Linked DNA regions of Ovis aries. The protein of the gene in region 1 purifies or fractionates together with the protein of each later gene. This does not show direct contact. Links are inferred from orthologs where the notes say so. Each region holds a gene or a part of one and is shown in the gene's direction. Other genes may lie near its edges. The genes, in order: sororin, PDS5B, SMC1A and SMC3.

Evidence for each region.
Region 2: the proteins of sororin (region 1) and PDS5B purify together in Homo sapiens (affinity purification with western blotting; 4 studies listed by BioGRID and IntAct, with this or other methods). This does not show direct contact. The link is inferred for Ovis aries from reciprocal best matches to the Homo sapiens genes CDCA5 and PDS5B.
Region 3: the proteins of sororin (region 1) and SMC1A purify together in Homo sapiens (affinity purification with mass spectrometry; 7 studies listed by BioGRID and IntAct, counting the BioPlex papers as one, with this or other methods). This does not show direct contact. The link is inferred for Ovis aries from reciprocal best matches to the Homo sapiens genes CDCA5 and SMC1A.
Region 4: the proteins of sororin (region 1) and SMC3 purify together in Homo sapiens (affinity purification with mass spectrometry; 7 studies listed by BioGRID and IntAct, counting the BioPlex papers as one, with this or other methods). This does not show direct contact. The link is inferred for Ovis aries from reciprocal best matches to the Homo sapiens genes CDCA5 and SMC3.

What each region holds. Positions count from the first base shown.
Region 1 is NC_056074.1:39,743,295-39,749,051, reverse strand, and holds the start of sororin, read left to right. Parts: upstream 1-1,932; 5' UTR 1,933-2,013; coding exon 2,014-2,059; intron 2,060-2,287; coding exon 2,288-2,382; intron 2,383-2,455; coding exon 2,456-2,635; intron 2,636-5,034; coding exon 5,035-5,472; intron 5,473-5,663; coding exon of another isoform or gene 5,664-5,744; exon of another isoform or gene 5,745-5,757. Other genes in the region: ZFPL1 (zinc finger protein-like 1), read right to left, coding at 784-895, 1,204-1,305. UniProt on the Homo sapiens protein: Regulator of sister chromatid cohesion in mitosis stabilizing cohesin complex association with chromatin. May antagonize the action of WAPL which stimulates cohesin dissociation from chromatin.
Region 2 is NC_056063.1:28,615,793-28,620,995, reverse strand, and holds part of PDS5B (sister chromatid cohesion protein PDS5 homolog B), read left to right. Parts: intron 1-473; coding exon 474-913; intron 914-1,003; coding exon 1,004-1,114; coding exon of another isoform or gene 1,115-1,118; intron 1,119-4,187; coding exon 4,188-4,326; intron 4,327-5,203. UniProt on the Homo sapiens protein: Regulator of sister chromatid cohesion in mitosis which may stabilize cohesin complex association with chromatin. May couple sister chromatid cohesion during mitosis to DNA replication.
Region 3 is NC_056080.1:51,291,035-51,296,685, reverse strand, and holds the start of SMC1A (structural maintenance of chromosomes protein 1A), read left to right. Parts: upstream 1-1,687; 5' UTR 1,688-1,753; coding exon 1,754-1,862; intron 1,863-5,651. Other genes in the region: RIBC1 (RIB43A-like with coiled-coils protein 1), read right to left, coding at 940-948. UniProt on the Homo sapiens protein: Involved in chromosome cohesion during cell cycle and in DNA repair. Central component of cohesin complex. The cohesin complex is required for the cohesion of sister chromatids after DNA replication.
Region 4 is NC_056075.1:30,648,031-30,653,714, forward strand, and holds the start of SMC3 (structural maintenance of chromosomes protein 3), read left to right. Parts: upstream 1-2,105; 5' UTR 2,106-2,229; coding exon 2,230-2,244; intron 2,245-3,242; coding exon 3,243-3,318; intron 3,319-5,684. UniProt on the Homo sapiens protein: Central component of cohesin, a complex required for chromosome cohesion during the cell cycle. The cohesin complex may form a large proteinaceous ring within which sister chromatids can be trapped.

The sequences.
Region 1 (5,757 bases):
AGGTTACTAGACATATACACAGGCACCTGGATGCGTGTACACATCCATCGGCACAAATGTACACGTTTATATACACGTAGTCAAACACAAGTGCCATCCCCTATATCCACACTTATAGGCACACTTACTCTCACATACACTCAAGTATGCCAATACCCAAGCATTCACACCCAGGAATTCTGCAACCTCACAACATGCTCATATATTCATATACAACACTGACCCATTCACTCACCCACAGTAGCAATGAATACACTAACAGGTAAAGACACAACACACGTTTAACTCATGAACATATAAACACACACTCACAGTGAGAAACACATACGTTAAGCTCAAAAAGTGGAGCTAAGGCTCTTACAGCAGAGTCGGGTCAAGATCATGACACATGCCTCTGTTGACTTCTTTTAACTGACGTTACTGTGGGAAATTCAGTTCCTCTCTGTGTAATGTTGGAATTAGAAATAGATCCTGAACGTCTGAGAGCCCCCTGCTTTCAGCTCACTACAGGTACAGCCAGCTACTGCTCAGAGCCACAACCACACCTGAGAGATTGGCAGGCAGGAAGCTAGGAGCTTAGTTTTTAGGGAAAAACACTAAGGCCTAGGAAGGGAAAGTGGCTTGCCTGAGCTCACACAGCAGGTAAGTTACCTAGTGGGACCAGAATCTGAGTTCCAGCCTCCCAAGCTTGAAGGTCTCACTGTCCTGCTGCTTGGGGAGCCGCTGGAAACCAGTCACACTGGTCTTGTCCAGATCCCCACCCCCAAGGTGCCCAGGCCTCACCATAACAGATGAGGCGGGTTGTCTCCCGAGCAGCCAGGGGTATGTTACACAGGCGGCAATTGGGGTTGTAATCGCTATCTTGGAGCCACTGCAGGTAGGACTGGACGATGCACTGAAGTGGGAGAAGGGGGTCACAACTGGAGCCAGGGCTCCACAGCCCGTCTCCCCAAGGCCCAGGTGCCTCTTTTTCTGTCATCACAGAGGAGATTCATTCTTTCGTTTGACCAATCAATAAACATTCATTGAGCACATATGTGCCAGACTCTGTCTTAAGCACTGGGGATACAACAGTGAACAAAATAAACTAAGTCCCTGCCCTTGCGGAGCTCCCATTCTAGGGCCAGACCTTTCATTAATTTGGAGGAAAGTCGACGACCTGCCCACCTAGTGCCCTGCTCAGTCTCTAACATGAACACCCACCTTGGCGTGATTGGCTACCAGGCAGTGCTCGCAGACGTTGACCCGGTGTTCGAAGCAGAATAGGTTGGTCACCTTCCTCTTGGGGCACTTGCAAAGTCCCATAGTCGACCCTGAGGAAAGCGTCACAGTTGGCAGGAAGCCAGATTCTGCTGACCTCTACACATTTACCAGCCCAGTTTGTTTCCACTCTTAACTTCCCTAGACACCGCACGTATCCGCTCCAACCCCAAACTCCTGCCCACCGTCTCTCTATATTCTGGGCCACGGCCCCTGCATAAATCCCGCCTCCTGAGACCCCCGCATTCGTCCCTCATCCCATCCTTGGGCAGGCCCCTCCATCAGTCTCTCCAATACCACCGGCCCCGCCCCCAGAGGTCCCTCCTGAGCCCCACCCCCTCCATGCCCCGCCCCCACCTTCTCCACAGACCCCACTCTCTGTGTTACTAATCGGCTGCGGCACCGGTCCTCACGGGCGCGAGGGCCGGTCCGAAGAGCGGAAGGTCAGACCGCGTTCAGCCAAGCTCTCGCCCAGCTCTCTCCAGCTCACAACGCTCCGATTATCCCTCGGCTGCCACGTCTCTTCCGGGTGCGGCGCGCTCTGATGACGTCAGGGTGCCAGTGACCCCGCCCCTGTAGACGCTAGACATGGAGGAGGGTGGAAAAAGGAGTGAGCGGATCTCGCGGCCCTCCCCCTTACGTCACTTCCGCTTCCTCCCGCGCAAGGCGGGTAATTCGAACGTTTACCCTTCGGGTTGGCGCGCGCTCTGGTGGCGGCACCTGCAGCAGAGGGGATAGAGACCAAAGCTAGACATGTCCGAGAGACGAACCCGGTCCGGAGGGGCCGCCCAGTGCCCCGGTGAGCGGAGGGGGCGCGCGGGAGAGGTGGGGTTGAGCCGTTTGAGGGACGCAGTTCGGTGAGGAACCCCCCTCCCCCGCCCGCCGCCCTCCAAGGCTCCCTCGTCTCCTGGCCAGGAAGGCGCCCCCAAAGGGCCTGTTTGGGAACCTTCTCTCTCTTTCTTCAGAACCTGTTGTCTAGACTCAGGCCTAGAGCCCTCCCCTACCTCCTAAATTTTTCTGATTGCAGGACCCAGCGCCCCAACTCCCACTCGGTCTCTGCGGAGGTCCCAGCGGAAATCAGGCTCTGATCTCCCAAACACCCTCCCGGAAATCTTGCCTAAGGTGAGCCTCAGGTTCCTCCTGCCCTGGAAGCCTCTGGGCTAATATAGACCTCATGTTCACTCCTCTTCTCCAGGCGCCTCAGGAGGCTCCAATCAGAAAGCCCATCGTCTTGAAGAAGATCGTGGCCCATACTGTAGAGGTGAGGGCTGAGAGAGGGGTTGTAGGTGGAGAGCCAGGATCGGGAGTCGGCTGTGTGATCAACTCGTTGTCCCCACAGATCACATCCATTAACTCTCCTCGAAGAAGCCCCCGGGTAAGTTCATTTTCATTTTCTTAGTTAAGGGGAGTCCAGGACAGACACTCTACAGCTGGGGTGGGATATAATGGCTGCTCATGTCTTGTGGCTCGGCTGGTAAAGAATCTGCCTGCAATGCGGGAGACCTGGGTTCGATTCCTGGGTTGGGAAGATCCCCTGGCGAAGGGAAAGGCTACCCACTCCAGTATTCTGGCCTGGAGTCGCAAAGAGTTGGACACAAGTGAGCGACTTTCACTCACTCATTCATGTCTGCCCAGGGAGTTGTTTTTGCTGTATTTTGAAACAGTTTGCCTTTGGACACCTGCATATGTTGCCAGGCTTGCTTACTTCCTACACACTTGGTGCGTTTAATGCCTTGGTATTCTCTACCATTTTCCTTTTAAAGTTGAGTTGGATCTTACTACTTTTTCTCCTTTCTAGCCTCTTTTACTCAGTAACTTATAATGTCTTGAACTGTTTTAGCAGAAATTATTGTTAAAGGTGTCTCATTAACAGAAGATCTGCACCTGAAAATATAACGAATGAGAAACGTTACCTGCCTTTGAGTAGCTCCGAGGCTTCTAGTCAACTGGGGAGAAAAACAAGTGATAACATAGTGTGCTGAGGACTGTAATAAAGAAAGTGTAGATGCTGTAAAGATACCTAACCCAGACCAGGTAGCTCAGGGAATGTTTCACAGAGGTGTTTGAACTTAGTCTTTGAAGACAGGTTAGCAGTGTTCCAGGCTAAGGAAACTGTGTTTGTAGACACCTGGAGTCCACAAGGAGAAGCACAAGGTTTCAGGAACAGCACTTTTGGTGTGTCTGCAGTAGACCTTGTCAGGAGAGGGAGTGTACTAAGCCAGAGCAGATCCTGATGAACTTGGACTTCATCCTTTGTTCTGTGGGCAGATTTGGAGAGTCGCAAGGTAGTTACTGAGGCAGCCTTGGGTGTTTTAGAAAGATCCTTCTTGGGTCTGGTTGGAGAATGGGTTGGAGAAAGCCTTCTGGGGTCTCCAAGACCAAGTAGGAGAACATCAAAGGAGTCCTAAAGTGAGACATTGGGTGCATGAAGGAAGGTAAAAGCAGAGTGTTGCTGGAGTTCTGCTGGAGAGCCCTATCAGACAGGACTCAGCTCAAAGGATACCTCCTCCCTGAAGCCTTCCCAATAGGCCTTATGAATAGCCAAGAGTACTTTGTTTGTATATTTGTTGTCTGAATGATAGATTCATGAGATATTGGACCAAAAAAATGTGCAAGGACTTGGATGGCTGTAGGGACTGGTACAGTGGTAGTCTGGGTGACCCTCGTTTTGTTCAGCATCCCTGTTAATAAGACTGATGGGATAGATTCCCCAGAGCCTATAGCCAGGAAGTGTCTCGTGATAACTAATGAAATTCTTTTAAACCACAAGGGTCACTAAATTTGTCCTGTTTCTCACCTTAGTTATCAAGCTCAGTGTCAAGTTTTGTGAAAGTCAGTTGAGTCTTTATGTATTGAACACCTGCTCCATGCAGGGCTCTGCTGAAGGTGCTGGGCATAGGCCAGGTCAACCAGACAGATGAAGACACCTGCTCACGTGGGACGGGCACATTCTAGGTGAGGTCTCAGCCAACCAGCAAACAGTCAGAATCAAGTAGTGATCCCGCTGGCCAGGAAAGGGGTCACTGTGACGGAGGGTGATGGGCAGAGGTAAGGAGGGGCTAGCCTCCGTTCCATGGTAAGGGACCGTCTCTCTGAGGAAGCAGCACTAGAGCTGAGACTGGAATTATGAGAAACAGCGTGTGAACATCTTAATACACATGTCAGATTAAGCATTTTCCTGTTCACGACCTTGCCATGGCTCCCGGGGCCTCCCCTTAAAATACTGGCCTGCAGACATGCCCTATAACACCCGCGTTACCTCTCGAATCCCATCACCAGTTCCTCGGCTCACTCCCTCTCACTTCACCCTCACTGCCCTTCTGTCCTTGACCCTGACTGGCACAGTTTCACCTCAGGACTTTGCACTTTCTGTTCTCTGCCTAGGACAGTTCTCCTCTGGATGACTGACTCCTTTGCTTCCTTCAAGTACTACGTCTGTCTCGGTGAGGCCTACATTGACCTACACCTATTTAAAATTCCCGCTTACCCCATGTACGCTCCATCCTGTTGTTTTCTTCCCAAGGTGCTTAGCACCTCTAACATGTGACACGATTCCCCCTGTGGTCTTTTTCCCACTAGAATGGAAGCCCTGTGGAAACAGGTGTGTCTTCTTTGTTTTCTTCCCTGCTGTCTTCCCAGTGCCTGGCACAGTGCCTGGCAGGTGACCAGTAAGGACTTAGTGACTGGATGGACATTTTAGATCCTTGGGCCTTTCTTGAAGTCAGTAGCACAATTAAATAACTGGGAGGCATTCTCTCTTCTGTCCTGCTACAGATCGCCTTTTTATTGGAGAAAGAAAACAACCCTCCTAGCAAGAAGCTCACTAAGGAGGACCTCTTCCAGACCTGCACTGTCCCTGTCACCGCCCCCTCCACTCCTGTGCTTTGCCCCGTGAGTGCTGAGTCCAACTCCTGGAAAGGAGACGTGGACGCCAGAGACTTGGAAATGTCAAAGAAGGTCAGGCGCTCGTACAGCCGCCTGGAGACTCTGGGCTCTGCGTCCACCTCCACCCCAGGCCGCCGGTCCTGCTTTGGCTTTGAGGGGCTGCTGGCAGCTGAAGATTTGGCTGGAGTCTCGCCAGTGGTGGATTCAGTGTTAGCTGAGGTCCCCAGGGTTTCTGTGAAGCCCTGGGCCCCAGACACAACTCTCCCTGGAATCTCCCCTCTGGTTGTGAAAGAGAAACGAAAGAAGAAAAAGCTGCCGGAGATCTTGGTGAGTGAGGGGCAGGGGTCTTCCTCTGCTACCACGCCAGACACACGGGGGGACACATCAGGACACAGGCAGGGCGGGGGCTCAGCCCTGGCTCTTGTGGTAGAAAGGCAGTGCCTGCAGAGTATGGGTGGAGATGCACAGCCGGCGTGCCCCCTTCGCCACTCACCTGCCCCCCATTTCTCTTCCCCCAGAAATCGGAGCTGGATGAGTGGGCCGCGGCCATGAATGCTGAGTTTGAAGCCGCTGAGCGCTTTGATCTCCTGGTTGAATGAGATGAAGTGGGGG
Region 2 (5,203 bases), on another chromosome or scaffold:
GAAACAGTATAGACATTTGTGAAATATTTGAAAGTAAGTTGCCAATTAAAACTTGGTAGAGACAGCAGATACTAATAAGAACTGCAATTCTTCATAATGAGTACTGAACTATGACTCCTTTTAAGTGTTGAATTTAGAATGTTCTTTTTAATGGACTAGCTCTTCATCAAAAATTTATCATCTATTCATCTACTGAGAGGTTTCATCTGAGGCTCTTTAGCTAGAGTAAGAATAAAAATTTACCCTCTTACCCCCAGATTATGTTTTATATTAGAAAATTGTTAATAAAAGCAAGTAGGTAGTTATGGTTCCGACATGCTTAAAACCTCTAGACCTTATTAGGTACATTCTTATAACTGAAGTAGATAACAGATTTTGTTCATTTGTTTATTCTTGAACATATACACACACACACACACACACAAATAATGTATACTAAGTTTTATATTTGAAATCGTGGCTTTTATTCCTAGTCTGAATTGGACAAACCTAGAAGCCGGAAAAAGACACCTGTAACAGATTCAGAAGAGAAATTAGGCATGGATGACCTTTCCAAGTTGGTACAGGAACAGAAACCTAAAGGCAGTCAGCGTGGACGAAAGAGAGGCCATACAGCTTCAGAGTCAGACGAACAGCAGTGGCCTGAGGAAAAGAGGCTCAAAGAAGATATACTAGAAAATGAGGATGAACAGAACAGTCCACCAAAAAAAGGTAAACGAGGCCGACCACCAAAACCTCTTGGTGGGGGTACACCCAAAGAAGAGCCAACGATGAAAACATCCAAAAAAGGAAGCAAAAAAAAATCTGGACCTTCAACAGCAGAAGAGGAGGAGGAAGAAGAAAGACAAAGTGGAAACACAGAGCAGAAGTCAAAAAGTAAACAGCACCGGCCTTCAAGGAGAGCACAGCAGAGGTAAGTGTGTGCCACTCTGAACTGCATGCATTCAGTTATTGTACTGTAAATCATAACTTGATGCTGTCTGCATCTGGGTCTTTCCCAAAGCAGAGCAGAGTCTCCAGAAACTAGTGCAGTTGAATCCACACAGTCCACACCACAGAAAGGACGAGGAAGACCATCAAAAACACCATCACCATCACAACCCCCCAAAAATGTGTAAGTTGTAAATAATATTAAGTTTCAAACCAGTTTCAAATTATTTTGCAAGAGTTCATAAATTTCTAAGTATAACAATACATAGTGAAAGTGTTCGTTGCTCAGTCGTGTCCAGCTCTTCGTTACCCCTTGGACTGTAGCCCACCAGGCTCCCTTGTCCATTCTCCAAGGAAGAATTCTCCAGGCAAGAATCCTGGAGTGGGTTGCCATTCCCTTCTCCAGGAGATCTTCCTGACCTAAGAATCGAACGAGATCTCCTACACTGCAGGCAGATTCTTTACTGTCTGAGCCACCCATATATTTAGCCCATTATACTAGGTAAGATAAAATTTTTGTAAACTTACCTAGGTGATTAATATCCCAATCATCCTTTGGCGACATTTGTACATTTTTATAGGCTTTAGAGAAATGGTTATAAACAAATACCAAATAGTTGATTATTTCCAGTACACACTTTATGGTACCTAAAGAGACGATGGCGTATCTTTAAATAATCACGCATAGATCACATTTTCTTGTTACTCCACACCACAGGTTTTCCATCTTTCCTCAGCAGCTTTAAAAAAATAGCTTATACACTTTTGCTTTCATTCTTTGATCAGTGTAGGAAAGTAACAGGCATCATTTTTCCTAAGTACGTTGGTGGAAATTATCACATAGTGATCTCAAGCTTTTGATGTCTTGATATTGTTTTCTAAGTAAATTAACACATCTGTATCTACATATAGATAGTTTTGGATGTTCACACAAGTACATGTTTATAGGAGAGTTATAGTAACAAATCTGTGTCCAAAATTATTAAAGTGGCAGGGGCATCAATGTTGTAATTTATAAATTTGGCACTTTTTTCCTCATTTAAAGCAAAAACAGAGTAGCATGTTGTCTGTCAGAAATTTTACAGTTTTTCTGAAAGTAATCTCATACTTCAGTGGCTTGACTTTTCAGTTGCCAGCACACCTTGGTTAAACACTCAGTTCATAGTTTCCTGTTCCTGTGTATTCCATGGGAAAAGTTACTGAGTGTCTAGCCAGTACTTCCCACCTTTTTCCATTTAATTTTTCCTTCACGTAAAAAGTAAAGGTAAGTACATTTTTTCGGCAGCTTTATAAATGTGTTTGTATGCAACCATGGAAAAATAACTTAAAAAAAATTCCTAAGATAGCCTAAATTTCAATGATTAACTTTATAACAAAATAACAGGGTAAATATCTTTCATGCTTATAACTTTAATTTATATTGGGGCATCATAAAATTAAGGGCTTATATGATTATCATTTTGTCTTGTAAAATTACACAAGTCCTCCTCATGGGAATGTTTTTAATGAAGCAAGTATTTTCTGTTAAAAAAATCAACACACAGAGAGAGAGAGTCTATGTCCTATCTTAACAGCCTAACTTCTTTTTACTGGAAGGCCCCTCTTTAGAGGTAGTATGATCACATATGTTACTATTTGCTTGTTTTCTTGTTCTGATCTTAGTGGAATTGAGCAAGATTATATTATTTTCCCTGTATTTTCTTCTGTTAATTCTGAAAAACTAAATCAAGTAAATTTGAGAAAATTGGTTTGAGTACAGATTAAACAGTATGTATATTCAGTTGCTTATAGAAATGATGAGGAAATTCTAAATTAAATACCAACAGATATATACGTTTAATTAAATGGTGGTATCTGTTACATATTTTTGAGTATCTTCTATGTGTCAGAGAGTACTAGGTGCTAAGGAATATAGTGACAGAAAACAGACATCCTTATAGTGCTTAGCATCTAAAAGGGAATGTAGTTATTAAATAATCACACATGAATGTGAAATAATAAGTTGTGAAATGTACCTTGGAGGACAAAGTTAGGGTGCTGTAAGAGAGTGTAATGAGAGGGCTGGGGAACTGGGGAAGTTTTCTCTTTGGAAAGTTGATTCCTTGAGAACAAGTTGATTCCTCAAGTTGATTCCTTGAGAACAGTAGGACTTAGACTTCTAGAGAGTAGGGAGAGGAACATTTCAAGTGGAGGGGACATTGTTTTGGAAGGTGCTGAAGTGGGAACAATCTTGACAAATTCAGAGAGCCGAAGGAAGGCAAAGTTTTTGCTGTATTGCAGTTTCAGGGAATTGGGGTATAGAAAGAGATGAGAACTGAAAGTAGGCAAGGCCAGTCTAAAGGTCCTTATGTACTTATCAAGGAGGTTAATGCAGTTACTCTCAGTACAGTAGGGGCCTCTCTCAGGGGCATGACATCAGCTGTTTTACATTTTTAAAAGATTACTTAGAGGCAAGAGATGAGAATGGTTTAGAAATATGTATGATGTAACAGTGAAGATGGAGAGAGTGAATGGATTTGATATTTCTTTACAAGTAGAATCTTTGGGTCAGACAAAGAATTGCACACTATTAAGGAAGACTCTAAATTTTCTGGTTTCAGCAACTCAGTAGACATAGATGCCTTTTACAGACTTGGGAAAGGAAGAGTAGACTTTGGGTTATATATTAAAATCCTTTATGGCGTTGGTTTCAGTCACCCTGACTTTTGTTATTTGTTAGATCTTTTTATATGTAACAATCTAGGGTTAAGTACTGGTTTAGGGTTTAGAATGTAAGAAAAATATTTCTTGGCTTACACGGTAATTGAGGGTAAAAATGATAATAAAGGACAGTCTATTAAGTAATTAAAGCATTTCCTCTTATGAAGTAAAGTAGAAAGTGAAGTTGCTCATTCATTTCCGACTCTTCGTGACCCCATGGAGTCCATGGGAATTCTCCAGGCCAGAATACTGGGGGGGCGGGGGGGTAGCCATTTCCTTCTCCAGGGGATCTTCCCAACCCAGGAATTGAACCCAGGTCTCCTGCATTCATTCATCTTTACCGTCTGAGCCACCAAGGAAGCTCAAGAATTCTGGAGTGGGTAGCCTGTCCCTTCGCCAGGGGATCTTCCCAACCCAGGAATCAAACCCCTGATTCTCCTGCCTTGCAGGCAGATTCTTAACCAGCTGAGTGGTATACCAGGGAAGGCCTCTTATGAAGGTAAACTACCACTTAAAGATCACAATGTTCATTTTATTTTACCTGTGTTTTACTCTAGCCGTGTAGGACGCTCTAAACAAGCAGCTACTAAAGAAAATGACTCAAGTGAAGAAATAGATGTGTTTCAGGGTAGCTCTCCTGTCAATGATGAAAATCCACAGGAAGAAACAGAAGAAGATGAAGTCTCTACAGTAAATGTATGTGTTTTTTAAAGTTCCATGTGTGATAGTATGGAGTATATTCAGTAGAATTAGAGTTGATAAGTGGTCAGATTCTTTTAGCACTTGCTGTTACTTAATAATTCTGAATATTTATGTATATATTTTTTCATTTGTTTGTAGTGTGTTAGTTCATCTATCAGCTTAGATTGTGGAGAAAATATCATTTATGAAAACCTGAAACCAAGTGAGAATAATAGACATAGCCTAGTGAAAGTGTAAATGTCCAGTGTACAACTGAATACAGAGAAGAGCAAGTGATAGTCTCAGGACGACACCACATGCACTTAAGTTTTCCCAGTATCTGTTACATATACTCTTGGTGATATTTCGTATAAGTTTTTTGTTTGAGTTTCTCAGTAGCAACTAGAATTTAGTCAGTCATGTAGAATAAAGTCATGTCTTCAAATAAAATTAGCGTTTGGAATTCATAAAAATTGGCAATAGACCTTTCTTTCACAAAAGTAGGAATGTGATGCCTCCCAAGATACTTTTTAAAATAATGAATGGCTGCCTGTCACAGCTCCGATTTTTCTCTTTGGAAGAAATATAATTGATGCGTCTAAGTAAGAGCTGTGTATTGCTAATATTCTTGCTGAATCTGTGGATCAGCTCAGCTAGTTTCAGTTTTTTGTTTGAGAAACGTGTGTCCTGTGATCAAGCCCCAGAGTTGACCCCTGCCTCTCTGTCTTATTTAATATAATCAGCACCTCTGTCTGCATCAGGATTCATTTATCTGAATTAGTTGAAGACCAGAGGAAAAAAATATGTTGAATTATGGTCTCAAACTAGTTTGGCTTATAAAGGGTTTTTATGGGGGGAAGGTATAAAAATAAGGCTGATGTGTACATAGTAA
Region 3 (5,651 bases), on another chromosome or scaffold:
TTTAAGTTCAGAAGTTTTTATCATTTAAGAAATCCCCTGAGGTGATAAAGATATTCTCCTATATATCCTAAAATTTCTAAAGTTTTGCTTTTCTCATTTAAGTTTTTAATCTATCTGGGAATTGCCTTTTGTATATGGTGTGAGAAGTAGGGATCCAATTTGATTTTCTCTCCAAAAAGCTACATTTCATCTTAAATGAAGTTATTGTTGTTGTTTAGTTGCTAAGTCCTGTCCAACTGTTTTGCCACCCCAAGGTGTAGCCCGCCAGGCTCTTCCATTCATGGGATTTCTAGTTCCTGTCCATTATGAGATTGCTGTCTTTGGTCATTTTATCCCCTCAGCCTGATCACACCAGTATCTCCCAACTGAACTTCATTTACTTAATTGCATCAACCAGGCTTTCTCACTTTTCTGGACTTGTCCTAAGACTCTTCCCAGCCTCCAGACATCGTTTAAAAAATAGTTACAGGAATGGCTGTAGCAGCCACCAGACCCTTTCCATGTCTAAGTCTAAGCACTGACGCCAGCTTGCTTATATTCCATCTGTCACCACAATATAAGGTCAAACTGAAGGGGAAGATTCTACAGCTTCTTGAACTGCTAACATTATGGCTTAATAAAGAGCAGGTAATAAGGTAAGGGGGGATGATGGGATGAAGCAGAGGGATAGAAAAGATGGGAAACAGGGGAAAGGGACAGAAAGGTCAGGGGCAGAGGGGGAAAAGAGGAAGGAGGAAAACCGGGTGGTTGATAGGGGTGGAGGACAGAGCAGAGAAAAGGAAGGGAAGCAAGGGACTGGGCAGAGGGGGGATGGAGAGGAGGGAATGGGATGGGAGTGAGGCATGAAAAGACAGAGATGAAGAGGGGGAAGGGAAGAAGGATAAGAGGTGGAGAGCACAGGCTTAGGGACCCTGACTCCCAGGGGTTCACACAAAATACCTTTTTCATCAAGGAGTCCCAATTGTGAAGCTCCCAGGTTAGGTCCAAGACTATAGTGGCAGTCTCTGAACTCTGCTTGGAGAAGAAGGAGGGAGGCGGGGCGGGGGGGGGGCGGGTAGGGGTAGTACCTCTGGCCACAGTTGGGGAAAACTGTGGCTCCAGAGTTCCCCTTCTCCATTCACACCTCATCCCCCTTAACACCCTATCCCATGTATAACTCCACCCCACTCCAATTCCAACCTCAGCAAGATTTGAGCTCCTCTAACACGGAATCCTCCTGCTTGCCCCTCCTTCCTCCCCTCCCTGGGGTCTTTCCAATTCCCGACCCTTTTCTTGTCTGAACCTTCCCGCCGGCCAGGCAAAAGCTGCAGCCGAGCTCCCACCTTACTCTTGCCCTGGAGGGCATAACCCTCCTGTGACTTCTGACTTGTCTCAGCAAGGGTCGGCCTCGTCAGCCAGCTTTCCGGGATCCTCAAAGCTGCAGACACCTCACTGCACTGCTTGCCTCCTCAACTACGAGGTCGCCTGTAGCGGCGGTTTGAAATTGCCATGCAACAAGAAAAGGGGGCGGGGCCCGAACGCCAGTCGTAACCTCGCGCCTTGGCAACCGATCAACAAAACCGCCACATCCGTCCGAATGCCCCGCCCCTTGGTTCCATCCTGCGCCGGAAGTCGAAAATCCCGTTCGGCCTGGACTTATTCTCGCGAGGTTTGCTGTCCGCCCGGCCTGCACTGCGGTGTTTCCCGCGCGGGCTATCCCAGTTGGCGGGCGAACGGCGCGGCCTTTCTTAGCGCCGGCGGCGCTGCCGCAGTCATGGGGTTCCTGAAGCTGATTGAGATCGAGAACTTTAAATCGTACAAGGGTCGGCAGATTATCGGACCATTTCAGAGGTTCACCGCCATCATTGGACCCAATGGCTCTGGTGAGATAAGCCCGGCTGCGGCCCTGCGCACGTCCCAGCCTGGACCCCCTGTCCGCAGCAGAGTAGTACAACCCAGGCTTTGCAACCTAGGAGGTTCCTTGCCCTTCTAAGTGTTCGATCCTGACCCGCTTTTCCCGCTTGGGTGCTCTGATTCGAACCTCTTCCCCAGATGTCACTTGCCCGCTCTTTGCGTGACCCCCGTCCCGGCCTGAGTGGTACGGGCCGAGCTGTACGTTACCCCGCCCACTGCCCCCTGCCTCCAGAAGTGGCGCGTCCGGAGCATGCTTCCAGTCGCGGGCCACGCAATTCCTCGCCGGCGCAGCTGCATCCGGCCCCCACACATTGTTTTAACCACCGGGAAGCTCGTGGCCCTCTCCTGGCCTCTGGGCCAAATGGTATACTTCTGCTTCATCCCAGCGCCTCCTCCCGTCTCGCGTTGGTACACTCCAATTCCTTTTTTTTTTTTTTTTTTTAAACTCTTCTCTGGAGGCGGCACTTTTGAATTTCGAACTCCGTGCTCCAGTCTCGGTAGTGCTTGGGGTCTTGAACTCCCCCATCCTCAACTGAGAAGTGGGGATGCCTCGAATTCGCCCCTTTCCTACCACTGAAACCGTCGAAAGTCAGGAGTCTTTAGCTTGTCAAATTTATTAAATGTTTACTGCTTTATAAGGATTTGTTCAATCAAGGTGCTGTGGAAACAGCGGAGAATAGAATAAGCCACGCTTTCAGAGAACTTATATTTCGAGGGGAAAGACGATAATAAAGGAGAAAATAAGTTATTTTTCGGCTGTAATAAGTGCTGTACAGGAAATTAGATTGATGTAATAAAGTGATGATGTGATAAATGACTCGGATGCCTCTTTAGGAAGAGTGGTCATTAGTTAACAATACTGTATTGTGTATTTCAAAATTGATAAGAGTAGATCTTTAAAAAGTCACAAAAAATATTAACTGTGAGGTGATGGATGTTAACTTACTGGGGCAGCCATTTTGCAATATATACAAATACGGAGTCACATAGTACACATGAAACTAATACAGTGTTGTATGTCAGTTCAGTTCAGTTGCTCAGTCGCTGTTGACTCTTTGCAACCCCATAGACTGCAGCGCGCCAGGCTTACCTGTCGATCACCAACTCCCTGAGCTTGCTCAAACTCATGTCCATCAAGTCGGTGATGCCATCCAACCATCTCATCCTCTGTCGTCCCCTTCTCCTGCCTTCAGTCTTTCCCAGCGTCAGGGTCTTTTCCAGTGAGTCAGCTCTTCGTATAAGGCGGCCAAAGTATTGGAGTTTCAGCATCAGCATCAGTCCTTCCAATGAATATTCAGGACTGATCTCCTTTAGGATTGACTGGTTTGATCTCCTTGCAGTCCAAGGGACTCTCAGGAGTCTTTAACACTACAGTTCAAAAGCATCATCATTTCTTCAGTGCTCAGCTTTATGGTCCGATTCTCATATCCATACACTAGTAACAGAAAACATAGCTTTGACAACACGTCGGCAAATAATGTCTATACTTTTTAATATGCTGTCTAGGCTGGTCAAAGCTTTACTTCCAAGGAGCAAGCATGTTTTAATTTCATGCTGCAGTCACCATCTGCAGTGATTTTGGAGCCCCCCAAAATAAAGTCTGCCACTGTTTCCATTGTTTCCCCATCTATTTGCCATGAAGTGATGGGACCAGATGCCATGATCTTCATTTTTTGAATGTTGAGTTTTAAGCCAACTTTTTCCACTTTTCTCTTTCACTTTCATCAAGAGGCTCTTCAGTTCTTTGTTTTCGCCCATAAAGGTGGTGTCATCTGTGTATCTAAGGTTATTGACATGTCTCTGAGCAGTCTTGATTCTAGCTTGTGTTTCATCCAGCCCGGTATTTTGCATGATGTACTCTGCATATAAGTTGAATAAGCATGGTGACAGTATACAGCCTTGACATACTCCTTTCCCAATTTGGAACCAGTCCGTTGTTCCGTTTCTGGTTCTGTTGCTTCTTGACCTGCATACAGATTTTTCGGGAGGCAGATAAGGTGGTCTGGTATTCCTATCTCTTGAAGAATTTTCCACAGTTTGTTGGGATTCACACAGTCAATGGCTTTGGCAGTCAGTGAAGCAGAAGTAGATATTTTTCTGGAAGTCTCTTGCTTTTTCTATGATCCAACAGATGTTGGCAATTTGATCTCTGGTTCCTTTTGCCTTTCCTAAATCCAGCTTGAACATCTGAAAGTTCTTGGTAAATGTACTGTTGAAGCCTAGCTTGGAGAATTTTGAGCATTACTTTACTAGCGTGTGAGATGAGTGCAATTGCGCGGTAGTTTGAACATTCTTTGGCATTGCCTTTCTTTGGGATTGGAATGAAAGCTGACCTTTTTCCGGTCCTGTGGCCCCTGCTGAGTTTTCCAAATTTGCTGGCATGTTGAGTGCATCACTTTAACAGCATCATCTTTTAGGATTTGAAATAGCTCAACTGTTATTAAAACTGGGGGGAAAAGGAAAAAGGAAGAAAGAGTAGTCAGGTAAAGTCTCTATTTCATATCTAAATTCCCTGTCTAAATTATACACCAAGGATTCCTCCTGTCTGCCCACGTTAGCTATCTATTTGGAATCCTGCTGTGTTCCTCCACCTCAGAGGTGTTCTAGCTAAATCACTTCCTAGCCTGAGGGACTGCCCTTGCTGAAGTAGCTCTAACTGATGACCTTCCCTGGAGACTTGCCTAGATTTCGCTCTCAATTAAGCAGGGTTTCTCTATAGCAGCGCTATTGACATTTCCAGTGAGAGAATTCTTTGCTTTGGAGTCCATCCTGTGCATTGTAGGATATTTAGTGGCTTCCTTAGCTTTTACCCACTAGGTGACAGTAGCACCACCCCCCATGACTCAGGTATGACAATCAAAAATGTCTCTAGACATTACCAAGTGTCCCCTGGGGGGAGAGGCAAAACCATTCCACTTCCCCCCATCTTCTTAGATGGCTAATGCTTGGGGTTTCATTGCAGTTGTTTAGGGTTTTGTTTGGTGGCCCCCGTGGAAAGAGCCAGGATGCACCTTTTGGCATTCAGTCCCCTCAACATGGGTAAATTTGTATGTGCAAGTGTTCCAAAAAAACCCCTTGGTCTGACTGGCCCTCCCTTACCTGTTCTTTAGTGTGCAACTCACAAGATTTGCCTTGATTCCCTTCAGTGAATTTCTGCTCTAGACACCTGGTACATGTTAATTTTTATTCTGTCGTGAATTCATGGTGTATATTTTGATATCTTCATCACTGGCCTGTGGAGTTCCCCAAAGAAGACATTGCTTGAAACATTGTATCATTGTTCAGATCATAATGCATGTTATAAAAATGTTTACAATATTGAATGGTTGCAGGTAGGGAGGCCTTTGATTATGTGATGTTCTTGTCATCCTTGGAGAGCATGGGAGAAGCCCAAAGGTTGTAAATGGGTTGCCTAAAAGACTAACTCCTCATCTGCATGTTGTGCTAGTCCTGCTATGTTGAGGGAAACCAAGCTAAGAGTCCAGACCTGGTTTGGATAGAATAGGATTGCCATTTATTGAGCCCGCACTGTGACAAGTATCAGTACTTTACTTATTGGGACATTTTGCATTTAAATTCTCACAGTGACCCTAGGAGGGAGGTACCGTTATCTTTGTTTTATAGATGAGAATACTGAGGCACAACAGGTTGTGATCATCTGCACACTTAATTCTCAGAGCCAGGATCACAACCTGTGCCTGTCACACCTGTGCTACTGCCACTCCCACAGAGAACTATGTGCTTACCCATTGAGTCAT
Region 4 (5,684 bases), on another chromosome or scaffold:
CATGTTTAAGAAACCATTGCCTGATTTATAGTCACAAAGATTTACTCCTACATTATCATCTACGATTTTCTATTTTTAGCCCTTACATTTAAGGAGTCTATGGTTACAGCTAAGACCACCTTGTTCCTAGGAGTGAAATAGGCAGCCAGTTGTGGTAGAGGTTCATTTACATACTATATTAGATTAGGTTTAGGTGAGTGGAGGCTGATGTCAGTCACCACAGCAGAAAAATCACAACCTTTCACCCAGTTTATAGACTTTAGCCAGATCCCACACCACAGCCCATAAACCGAACAGAAGGCTGGGTCCTGAGCAAGGTGTATTCCTCCTGCAAATATATTCAGTATATTTATTCCTCCAATCTGACCCTGAAAGTTATCAGAGTAACTGACCCATCGGAGAAAGGGAGCAGTTAGATTTTTGAGTGTTACTGAATCCAGGCAGGACCCTGGGGGCCCTGCCTCATACCAAAAACCTGTGTCTCCCATTTCTTGTTTGTAAGAAAAAGGCTTCAGCCTCCTAGATTTTCCCTGGATTCCAAAGGGGATACTCAAAGTTACTAACTAGGGGAGTGAAGGAATGTAGAAAGAAATTAAAAGGAGGCAAGAAACAATAGAGCAGTGATGGGGAGGGGTCCTGGTTCTTTTTCAAGGTACACACACTACAATCTGGTACACATCTCTTGAGTTCTTCTACAGGCACTAAGTCCCCCAGGCAGATCAAGAACGGTAAATGAAGGCTGAGCGCAAGCATGTGGACCCCCGACTGGCTGGAACAAGAGGGCTAATTGAGAGTCCTGGAATATCACCGTTACTATACCAGGTCACACACCTCTGCAGCCCTTCCTCCAAAATTTGCTTATCAAAACTCTTCCCAGAAAACCATTGGGTAGTTTGTGCTTTTTGAACATAAGCTGCCCCATTCTCCTCGCAATGAATCTTTCTCTGCTCCAAACTAAAACTTTTCAGTTTGTTTGGTCTCATCACGGAAGTAATACTCAAAGTCGCAAAAACCAGCGACTTCCATCTCTTCTCCTAAGGGCCGGTTTGACTTTCCTAAAAGTGGTATGTTTTCCCTGAAGTGCTCTTTTTCTTTCCCTTGCCTCCTCTAATAAGTCATTTGTTTTCCCTGAAGTGTCCCTGTCCTCTTCATCTATTAAAAAGGTACATACATAAAGTCTTCTTCCAGCACCAAGAGGCGTTGACAGGGACGAAGTTAGTCATTTGAAATAGCTCAATGTAGAAATAATCAGCGCTAGAACTGTCCGCCGTAGCGGGACGGGTGGCGAGGACCGACCAACTTGAGTGCTGAGTGGCAGGTAATTTTACAGCGGCCCAGAGATCCGAGTTTTTCTCCTGCGATTGGTGCAGATCAGATACGCCCAGGGTTGCCACTAGCACCTCCAAGCTTTTAGGCTGTTAGGAAAAAAAGGGGGGGAGGGGTTTTAATCTTAAATAAATCTTTGCGTTCCAGTTGTCCAATCTGCCTAGATTTATACCAATTGGCAGAGCAGTAACAGCTCTGGGATATTAATAACTATGACATTATTAAAATTAATTTTCTAGCGTCAAGTCCCTTTGGGGCTGTCCTGAGAGTGGGGAGTCCAGAGTCAGCGGGGGCCATTCTAAGTTACACAAGAGAGAGAATAATAGAGGACCAGGGGTTCTGCCCCCCGAGTTTCCCCCCAGGTCGTGTACACTACAGGTTCGGGCAGCCGCGCCGCCCGCCCCAGCTCGGTATTTCCAAACAGCGCGAGACCACGGGGCCGTCAACTCGCACGGCTACTGGCGCTTGGACACCCTCTCTCAGCTTTGGCGCCGAACCTTTCGCCACCTTGTGGCCGCAACCATTGGCTGCCCGCTCGGAGGGTATACAGGTCAATCTCACGACCAAGGCTTTTCCGAATGAAGTTTCCGACTACTTCTCAGGGAAAATTCATTGAAAAATTGAGGAGTCACATGAAATTCAGCTAGCGACATCGCAGAAGGCTCTTTTGCTAAAAATACAGAGCAGATCTGACTCTGATTCCCCCCACGTTCCGAGGGAAGCTGCGAGGGTGGTTCCGTCCGAGGCGGGGACTCCGCCTCCATGGGCGCCGCCATTTTGTTTGGCTCGAGGGGTGCAAGCGGCGCCTTGGGGGGTGGGGTCGTTTAGGCGCCTCACCTAACCCCGCTGCCGAGTTGTTGCTGCTCGCCGGGAGCCCTTCTCGCCGGCCAGGGGCACGGAACCATGTACATAAAGCAGGTGAGGCCTGTGCGTCCCTCCCGCCCCTCAGGGGCTCGTGAGGACAGCTCCTGTCGGGGGTGTTGCTTCTTGCAGGGTGGCGCGGGGCTGGACAGGGACTGTGGGGGAGGGGCGCAGCTCGGGGCGCCCCTTTGCAGCCCGAGCCGCCCCTTTGCAGCCCGAGCCTCTCCGCAGGGCGCTTGTCTGAGGGAGGCGGGCTCTAGCGGAGAGAGCTGGAGGGGCTGGCGACGTGGGCCTTTTGGAGGGAACCGGGCCCTCCCGGGTGGACGAGAAGCAGCTTGGTCCTGTGGGGCTAGGCAGCCCCCTCGCGAGCCTTTTGCGTGGCGTGTGTGAAGAGAGGGTGTCCCCGGCCTCGGGACGCCTGTGGGGTCCAAGCTGGGTGTCAGCTTAGCCAGGGGCCTCGCTCCTCCCCGAGTTACCGGAGACGTGAAAGGGTCCCTCCTTCCTGCAGAATGTGTAGCGCCTCCTCATTCCGTTGTTTACTTTCTGTCAAAATGGTCTTCCCGCGCTGGAGGCCACCCCGAAAATGAGCCCATTCACACTCGTTAAGAGAAGTTTCTCGGCTGGATGTGTTGGACTCGGAGCAGTCCTGTCCTGGATGGGCGGCTCTTTTTTGGTCAGAGTGTGACTGAAAGGGGCGCCCAGGACCGCTGAGCCCCCCTGCATACTTGATAAGACTTTTATCCGGCCCTCTGATGGTTAGTGTTCCAGCCAGCCTTACCCAGTGTATTTGATTTTGAGCGCTCCCTAACAGGTTACTAATTATAACTTCTCTTAAGCAACACTGGTAGTGGTTACTGATATACGGGCAGTTTTAAGAAGATTTTTAAATCATTTTCCAAGATAAATTTTTCTTCTCTGACATGGGAATTTTTCTATTTGGCATTAAATGGGAAACCAGAAAGGGAAGGAGGGCAAAAGGAAAATACTAGCTTAGAGGTTATTTCTTTTGGGGCATGTTATTTCTTTCTGAAAAAAATCTCTCTTCTGTTTGTTAGGTTATTATCCAGGGTTTTCGAAGTTATAGAGATCAAACAATTGTAGACCCGTTCAGTTCAAAACATAATGTTATTGGTAAGTGTTCATGGTTCACTCTTGTCAGTTTTCTGTCTACATAGTCGTTTAAATTTGCCTACATTAGGCTTAAGGAGACAGGAATTGTCTTAATATTACATAAATTTGTATTTTTTTTTCTGTGTGAATACTTTTATCTGCACTGATGAAATTGCTTCCTTTTTACGTTTAAAAATACTTGGATAAGACAGAGTATTCATTTTTATTTGGTAGCCTTGTGTGTATGTGTTTTAATAGATTTAAGTTTATAGTGAATGGCACTAAATTTAGCATTTCAGCTATTCTTGGTATGTCATTTCCTACTTTAAAAGTGGTCACTATTGCCTTATTTCAAAGATGACCATTCTTTATTCACAAATTAGGTTGTTCTAAGACATTTTTTTTTCCCCATTATAATGTCCAAGGACAGACCATGCAGCTTGATAGGAAAAGCATAAACTTTGGATCATGGCAGAATGGGATTCAAATCCCAGTTCTGCTATGTATTCTTCAGACTTCCTGATGCTTCAGTTTTCTCACTTGGAAAGTGGAAATAATGATACATGTTTCTTAGGGCTGTTGGGAACATTAAATGAGAAAGCAATAATGTGAGGATAAGGGGGCTAATGGTGATTGTCCTTCAATATAATAATTAATATATAGGTTCTACAGATGATAGTGATACAGACAGCAGGTGTTTTCTGACCATCTGCTGAGTTTTTAAAGAACAGATTAAATGAGTGCTTCTAGACACCAGAAAGGAGAAGGCAATGGCACCCCACTCCAGTACTCTTGCCTGGAAAATCCCATGGGGTCGCTAAGATTCCGACACGACTGAGTGACTTCACTTTGACTTTTCACTTTCATGCATTGGAGAAGGAAATGGCAACCCATTCCAGTATTCTTGCCTGGAGAATCCCAGGGACAGGGGAGCCTGGTGGGCTGCCGTCTATGGGGTCTCACAGAGTCGGACATGCCTGAAGCGACTTAGCAGCAGCAGCAGCAGACACCAGAAAAGTATAGAATCGCTATCAACATAGATTTCAGCCCTACAGTGTCCTAGTTGGCTTGGTCTGCCACAACAAAATGTCATAGACTAGATGGCTTAAACAACAGGGATTTATTTTTTCACTGCTCTGGAGAACCTTTGTTTGAACCTCTCCCTCTTGAAAGAGCAGTCCTACCATAAAGGCCTCACTCCTAACCTCATGTAAATTACCTCCCAAAGACCCCTTATCTCCAAAAAGCTTCACATAGTAGGGTTAGGGCTTTAACATATGAATTAGGGGTCAGGGAGAGTATGTACCATGGAGTCCATAGCTTGAGGTAAGATTCATACTGTTGACTAAAAAAAATGCATGAGTTGGGAATTAAGTTTTATTTGGGGCAAAATGAGGACTGCAGCCCAGGAGATAAGCACCTCAGATAACTCTGTGAGACTGCTCCAAAGAGACAGTGGGGGAAGGTCAGTCTCTTAAGATTTTGGTGAAGGGGAAGTTCAGTGCATTCAAGCCTTTTGGTGGTTATTCAGTCGCTAAATTGTGTCTGACTCTTTGTGACCCCATGGAGTGCAGCATGCCAGCCTTCCCTGTCCTTTACCATCTCCTGGAATTTGCTCCGACTCCTGTCCATCGAGTTGGTGATGCGATCCAACCATCTCATTTCTGTCACCCCCTTCTCCTCCTGCCTTCAATCTTTCCCGGCATCAGGGTCTTTTCTAATAAGTTGGCCGTTCTCATCAGGTGGCCAAAGTATTGGAGCTTCAGCTTCAACATCAGTCCTTACAGTAAGTATTCAGAATTGATTTTCTTTAGGATTGACTGGTTTGATCTCCTTGCAGTACAAGGGACTCCCAAGAGTCTTCTCCATCACCACAGTTCAAAAGCATCAATTCTTGGTGCTCAGCCTTCTTTATGGTCCAACTCTCACATCCATACACGACTACTGGAAAAACCATAGCTTTGACTAGGCAGACCTTTGTAGGCAAAGTAATGTCTGCTTTTAATATGCTGTCTAGGTTAGTCATAGCTTTTCTTCCAAGAAGAAAGCGTCTTTTAATTTCATGGCTGCAGTCACCATCTGCAGTGATTTTGGAGCCCTGAAAAATAAAGTCTCACTGTTTCCATTGTTTCCCCATCTATTTGCCATGAAAAGATGGGACCGGATGCCATGGTCGTCGTTTTTTGAATGTTGAGTATTAAGCCAGCTTTTTCACTCTCCTCTTTCACCTTCAGCAAGAGGCTCTTCAGTTCTTCTTCGCTTTCTGCCATAAGGGTGGTATATCATCTGCATATCTGAGGTGATTGATATTTCTCCCGGCAATCTTGATTCCAGCCTATGCTTCATCCAGCCCATGCTTCATCCAGCCCAGCATTTCTCATGATGTA